2 linked regions of the Caenorhabditis elegans genome follow. The protein of the gene in region 1 interacts with the protein of each later gene in a pairwise test. Each region holds a gene or a part of one and is shown on either strand. Other genes may lie near its edges.

What was found. Proteins that work in one complex are often made in the same cells at the same time.
Region 2: the proteins of cec-8 (region 1) and C13F10.7 interact in a two-hybrid assay, tested with the Caenorhabditis elegans proteins (one large-scale study listed by BioGRID).

Annotation. Positions count from the first base shown.
Region 1 is NC_003281.10:427,266-431,019, forward strand, and holds the start of cec-8 (Chromo domain-containing protein), read left to right. Parts: upstream 1-2,072; 5' UTR 2,073-2,088; coding exon 2,089-2,132; intron 2,133-2,180; coding exon 2,181-2,400; intron 2,401-2,455; coding exon 2,456-2,528; intron 2,529-2,580; coding exon 2,581-2,711; intron 2,712-2,760; coding exon 2,761-3,754.
Region 2 is NC_003283.11:7,221,641-7,225,394, reverse strand, and holds C13F10.7 (CCHC-type domain-containing protein), read left to right. Parts: upstream 1-2,142; coding exon 2,143-2,257; intron 2,258-2,456; coding exon 2,457-2,528; intron 2,529-2,577; coding exon 2,578-3,059; 3' UTR 3,060-3,337; downstream 3,338-3,754. Other genes in the region: fkb-3 (peptidylprolyl isomerase), read right to left, coding at 1-26; C13F10.1 (50S ribosomal protein L6), read right to left, coding at 454-465, 514-657, 1,027-1,317; kxd-1 (KxDL domain-containing protein), read right to left, coding at 3,338-3,381, 3,431-3,633, 3,683-3,754.

The DNA.
Region 1 (3,754 bases):
TCTCGCAGCAACATTTTTTTAATTTTCCAGAAGGTTCTAGAACAATCCAGAATTTTTTCGAATTTTCCAGAAGGTTCTGGAACATTCCAGAATTTTCTAGAATTTTCCAGAACCTTCTGGATAATTTCAGAATTTTCCCGAAGTTTCCAATTTCCCTTCCAAAGACGGGAAGTCAATTTTTCATAAACTACCGTAATCCTACCGTACTCCTACAGTACTCCTACAGTACTACTACAGTACCCCGACCATATTCCACTACTAACCGCAAACCTATATCTCTTCAAAAGACAAAAACACAATTTTTCATAAACTACAGTAATCCTACCGTACTCCTACAGTACTCCTACAGTACTACTGCAGTACCCCGACCATATCCCACTACTAACCCCCAAACCTATATCTCTTCAAAAGACAAAAGCTCAATTTTTCCTAAACTACAGTAATCCTACAGTACTCCTACAGTACCTCTACAGTACTACTACAGTACCCCGACCATATCCCACCACTAACCCCAAACCTATATCTCTTCAAAAGACAAAAACTCAATTTTTCCTAAACTACAGTAATCCTACAGTACTCCTAAAGTACCTCTACAGTACTACTACAGTACCCCGACCATATCCCACCACTAACCCCAAACCTATATCTCTTCAAAAGACAAAAACTCAATTTTTCCTAAACTACAGTAATCCTACAGTACTCCTACAGTACCTCTACAGTACTACTACAGTACCCCGCCCATATCCCCCTACTAACCCCAAACTAATATCCCTCCAACAGCCGATAACGCCTTGCCTTTGTAAGCTATGACGTCACTTGTTAACAAACGGACACTATTTTTTTATATATAGGTAATGATTATTTATTTTTCTACCCTGAAATTTTATATTTCCCTTCTCGGGTACTTAATTTTCCGAAATTCCAGTAAATCTTTTAGGCTCCAACCCCTACTACAGCTCTCCGAAACCCGGAAAGGGGCGGGGCTTAACTAATTTTTTTCCAGAACAATAAATTACTGGCCTGCTTATCATGTGGTTAAAAATGTCCCAAGCCCCTTTTTTTGGGGTCTCACAGCGAAGAGAGTAAGTGCGCTTCATAGACATGGTGCATCATGACAAACACCGTCACGCCAAATTGCAGACAACATAATTTTGGGATTTAAATTTTAGGATTTTTAGAAATTTTTAGAAACTTGCACCAAAAAATAAAGTATGGTTTGCCATATATCACAGATTTTTCGAGCTAATTAATTCAATAAATTTTCTATAATGACGTCATCTTTTTTTAAAAAAACCTCTTCCACCGTGACCCACTGAACCCTGTAACATCTGTTATGGGGTCCAGCCGATGCATATAAAGATGTCTAATTCTCTCTCAACACGCCTCGTCGAACCGCGACGCGTCACATCAGCGTTTCCCGCGCGTTTGAAATTTTACGCGTCCACCCGTCTTTTTGTTTGGTTGCTCCTGACAACGGATGAATCTCAAAATAAATTGAGTTTCTGATGTTTTTATTTGAAGTAACCAATTTTTACTTCAAAATTAGATTTTCAACCAATTTCTGAATTTAGTCCAATTTTCGCTTGTATTTCACTGACTATCCCCTAAAATTAATAAATTTTCAGTTGCCTTAATGGATTTCCATATTTGTTTAGTCCTAGCCCCTAACTTTCGTCGTAATTTATCAGTAATATAGGTCAATTCACTCCGAGCTTCAGATTTTGGACAAAATTGTGAAGCTTCAGCCCTTTTTGTCCTAGAAAGTTCGAACCTTGTCGGTTTTAAGACCCTTTTTCGAGAAACTAGTTTAAAAATTACTGGAAATTCCCAAATAGTCGATTCTCTAGCTTGGCACAACATTTTCTTGTCAGACCCCCCATTAAAATCGATTTCTAGTCTCAGCTAATCTCCTTCGCTCACCATGCTCAAAATTGACCTAACTTCCCGAATTTATCCCTAATGAGAGACAATATCGACTCAGTCACCGCAACATCTGTTATTGACCCCACACCTGCGTTACTCCTTCCTTTGTCTCTTATATGTTCTCCAATTCCTAATAATTTTAGTTTTAGGAATAAAAAATCAACCATGGCCAGAAAATCCAAAGGAAGCCGCTCATCCACTCGAGCTGTGTCAGTTTTTTTAAATTTGAAATTTCTCCTGTAACCTCCAATTTTCAGAAAGCAAACCGATCATTTCCAAGTTGATGTGAAACTCCAAAGTCGTCCCGATCATGTCAGAGCTCCAAGGGCGAACAATGAGAATGTCAACTATACCCCAGTGAAAGAGGCAAAGATTCAGAAGATTTTGGACCATCAGCTGTATAATACTCACTATGTCGAGTATCAGGTGGAAATGAGCGATGGAACGGAAGAAATGTTGACTGAATTTGATTTTGATGTAAGTTGTTTTTTTTTTAATACGGTGGTAATTAACATTTTTCTTGAAATTTCAGAACAAAAAGACTCAAAAGATGCTCGCAGAGTACAAGTTCAAGGTTACAGAGCTGGAGGATGATGGAAGTAAAGGTAAGAAGCTTGGAAAAGTAGTTGAAAACTTTGAATACAAAAAAATTTACAGAATACGTTGTGGAGAAGATCGTCGCCCATCGTTACCCAAACGATAGGCTGAATCAGCCTTTGTACCTCGTCATGTGGCGCGGGTTCCCCGATCCGGTATCTAACACGGAAATGTGGGGAGAAGAGCTTGAGGTTAGTGATCACAGAGTCTAGTTATCATCGTTTATCTTAATACTTTCAGAACTGTCAAGAGCTTCTCGATGCCTATAATGAAGAGCATGATATTGATCTTTCAAAGACAGTAATGAACAAGCCTCCGAAGAAATCAAAGCACCAAGATACTTCTGACGATTCTGAGGAGTCTGAAGATGAGGAAGAAAAGTCACCCAGGAAAAGATCCTCCAAGAAACGTCGAGCTGCTTCTGTTTCTGATTCCGATTCTGACTCCGACTCCGATTTTGACAAGAAGAAGTGGAAAAAAAATAAGGCCAAGCGATCCAAGCGTGATGACTCTTCTGATGATGACTCCGAAATGGAGAGACGCAGAAAGAAGTCGAAGAAGTCGAAGAAATCTAAGAAGTTCAAGAAATCTGAGAAGAGAAAGCGTGCAGTGAACGATTCTTCATCTGATGATGAAGATGAGGAGGAGAAGCCTGAGAAACGCTCCAAAAAGAGCAAGAAAGCTGTCATAGATTCATCTTCGGAGGATGAAGAAGAGGAAAAGTCCTCCAAAAAGCGTTCCAAAAAGAGCAAGAAAGAGTCCGATGAAGAACAACAAGCTTCTGACAGTGAGGAGGAAGTAGTCGAGGTGAAGAAAAATAGCAAGTCGCCAAAGAAGACTCCTAAGAAGACCGCTGTCAAGGAGGAATCCGAAGAATCTTCTGGCGACGAGGAAGAGGAGGTTGTGAAGAAGAAGAAGTCCTCCAAGATAAACAAGCGAAAAGCAAAGGAGTCCTCGTCTGACGAGGAGGAAGAGGTTGAAGAATCGCCGAAAAAGAAAACAAAGTCCCCAAGGAAGTCTTCCAAAAAATCGGCTGCTAAGGAAGAATCGGAAGAAGAGTCCTCTGACAATGAAGAGGAGGAGGAGGTTGATTATTCCCCGAAAAAGAAGGTCAAGTCTCCAAAAAAGTCCTCCAAGAAGCCAGCCGCGAAGGTGGAATCGGAAGAACCTTCTGACAATGAGGAGGAGGAGGAGGAGGTTGAAGAATCTCCCATAAAGAAGGACAAGACTCCGA
Region 2 (3,754 bases), on another chromosome or scaffold:
GCTGAGGCAATAATTGATTTCAGCATTTTTGTGCTGGTTCGGTTTAGTCACTGAAATGGTTACTTAATTGTTGTAAATAGGCGGAATAAGTTACAAGAAAAGAAAAATCAAAACTTTTGAATTCAAAAGCACTACACGTGGAAGGAAAAGAAGGAAGCAACGACCGTCTTGCAAGTGTCTCCTTCCACTCATCTAGTTTATTCCGTTCTCGGTGGCTACCGCCACATCTCCTCTTCAGGTTTTGTTGCCGCGCAGTCCGAAGCCTGAGAGACGCAGATGAGAGACCTTCACCTTTTTATCTGCGCATTGGATCGGTTGTTTTATCAGAGAGATACTTGTTTTTTATTCACCACAAATCAATAAGTTATAGGTAACACAATTGGGAACGATTTAATGACGTGGCAAGATTATGGAAAGAGTGCGGTTTTTTTTTGGTTGGCATAAGTATTGAGATTATCGGGATCTCTGAAAATTAAAACTAGTTAGGTTTTTTGGGAAAATGAAATTTCTCACTTTGGAATTCAAATTGACTCGTTCTGTAAAACTTGTGTAGATGAGATTTCCAACTACCAAAAGTATCAATGATAACGATATGAAAATAACAAATCCGGCGGAGACACGGATCATAAGAGCAGCATAGTCGTATGGTTTCTCGATCTGAAAATCGGAAACTTTTTTTCCTAGTTGAACAATGCCTCTTTTTTGAGAAGGTAATTTTCAAATATTATATAACCAACAAAATTAACACTGTGGTTACGGTAGTATTTACAAAGTTACTGTAGACGTCGCAACGAGATATTCATTGTGCCAAATATGCTGCACAGTTCGTATAATTTCTGGCGGTTGCGTAATATATCGCAATTTTTAATCTCCTAAACTTCTCACTTGAAGGTACACGAATTCATTCATATAGGTCTCACCGCGAGGAAAATAGATCGTATTTTTTTATAATGAATATTAAAGATTTATTTATAACTCATAAATAAGAGAAAACTAGATTATTTCTTCAAATATAATAGGACTCACCTGCATTTTGGACAGATTTACTTTTGGAAAAAGATGGCGTGCTCTGTAACGACCCACTAATCGTGGAGAAAGTAAAGTGAATTTCGAAACGACGCGACGAGAGAACGTATCATGAGCGAGAAGCCGGGCAGTGTGCTTGAGAAGAGTTTGTCGAGAGCATCTTGTGCCCAGACCCAGCGCGGGAGAAAGAAAAGAGAAAGCGGTGGGAGAGGTTTTGTATTGATTTGCGGACATATAACAGATGGGGGTGGAGCTCTTGGAGTCATTTGTCAAGCTAACTTCGATCATCATTCGTCAAATTAATTTATTGGAACACAATATAATGAATGAAAGGAAAGAGTGAATTGGAAGCGTGTCGATTTACGGAGCTCGTGTACTCCCCGAGGAAAACAGTGAATTTTTGTTTTTCAAAAAAATATATAGTTCTTTGTGAAACGATTTTCGCGAATTCTTTTGTCAGTTAATTTTGAAATCGCTAATTTGTTCAATATTTTTATAGTATTCCAAATAAAATTCGCATTATTTACTGTTGTAAATCTACGAATTCTCGTTTTCTGTGGTTTTGAGTAGTAAATTAATAGATTATCCTCGAAAAAACTCGACGAAAATACACAAAATATGAGATATTATTGACGATTTAATAATCCAGAAATTTGAAAACTTGCAGGGTTATAAACCAGGAGTGCTTTTCGAACATTTTCGAGAAGTTTGCATAAATTTGCATCAGATAATACCTTTTTTCTAATTAAAAATATTTTATTCAAAATTTCAAACAACACCGTGCTAATGTGCTCTAGTGGAAAAAATCGTATTAATTTCGAAACTTTTCATATTTCTTTCTCACTTCTTCCATTGCTGCTTTTCACTTTTCTTGATAGTTCTCTTTTTTTTTGTTGAAAAAAATCTTATTTTTAAATCTTTTCAGCATGTTTTCCAATTCTTCTATGTTCTCTGATTAAAAAGCGCCGAAAAATCGATAATTTTTCTATAAAACCCATCTTCCCTTGAGAACAGTTCTTCCCCTCTAAAACGCGCATAAAACCAGCGTCTTTTACCACCTCTTCACGTTATTTTTTGCTTATTTTTAGTACTCCCTAATATTCACTACAATTACAGATGGCGAACGCTAACCTGACTCCGATGCCGTTTGTGCGAAAATTCGGATCTACCAGTACAACTGTAACTACCACAACTGACACAGATAGCCCATTATCAAAAGATGATGAGTCAGGTAAGTAATCTTAAATTTTCAAAAATTAAATTACTATGGATTTATTCGCAAAAAAAATGTTTCCGAACAAAAAACAATTTAGGGGACGAAAAAAGCGAAAAAAAACTTTTTTGAAAACGACTCCAAAAAAGAAACTTGGTTTTTTGGAAAAAAAGTATTTATAAATTTTTCAAAAAAAAAACTCAAAATCTACTTTCAGGTAAAAAACCTTCACTTGCTTCCCTAGCACAGTCAGCGTTCCCATCAAGATACGACCCGAACGCCTTTGTAGGTACGGTAGTTCATAGGAAATTAAAATCACATAATTTGTTTAATTTCAGATATATCAGGTGCCGCAATATCTGCCCCCGCAGTCACGGGAGCATGCAAAAGATGTGGATATCCGGGTCATCTATACTTCCAGTGTCGAAATCACATTGAAGTACGTCCAAATGTATCGACAAAAGCGTACGAGGTCAGTTCGACATCATCTGAATCAAGTGACGACGAGACTCCGCTCATTGCTTTGGAAAAGCAGCGGAAAAAGGAGAAAAAGCTGAAAAAGAAGGCGAAAAAAGAAAAGAAGAAGGCGAAGAAACTCGAGAAAAAGGAGAGAAAGAAGGAACGGAAAGAGAAGAGAAGGCGACGAGATGATTCTGATGATAGTAGTGATTCTGATGAGGAAGAGGATAGAAAAAGGAAGAAGAGCAAGGAAAGTAAAAAGGAAAAAAGAAAACGCCGTCATTCTTCCTCAGATGATAGATCAGCTTCTTCCGATTCTGATGATGACTGTCGTGACTCGAAACGTCACCGTAGATCATAATCGTGTAATATTGATATTTTAACTCTAAATTTTTATTCCGACAGTAACCACCTCCACATTAATATTTTCTCTATTCAAATTTCTATTGTTTCTCTTGTGTCAAAAAGTCCCCATAGTGAAGTTACTAATTAAATTAAAAACAAAAAATTTTATAACTTATTTCGACTTCACTTTAATCAAAAATTTGAGATCTTTATTGAATTTCTGTGACTTGTATTTGTTCCAAATGATCTGTTATTTTTTTTCTTCTTGTTTTTCAATTACGAATAAATTGTATTTCATTCGTCTTCCTCGCTTCGTTTTGGCGTTAGCTCGGCTGACACTGAAATTTGATGAACTTTTTAAAAGTATTCAAATTAAAATATCTGCACCTTCAGCATAAACTTCTGGATACTTTGACGACAAAACTGTTTTGAACATGCGAATTTTTTTGAAAATAAATTCCAAATCAGTTTTCATCTGCAGAATTGTCTCTTTGTGTCCCACAGAATCCCTTTTTGCTTTTTCAATTCTTCGATCGCCGAGTTGAGCGCAATTCATGAGCATTTCATTTGTCTTTTCGAAGCGTTTCAAGCTGAAAAAAAAAGAAAAATCAATAAATTCTAAATTCTCCAGTATATTACCTCTGTCTCTGAGTATCAATTATGCTTTGAATTGTGAATTCGTCGATTTGAGAAGTGAGCGAATCGATGAGA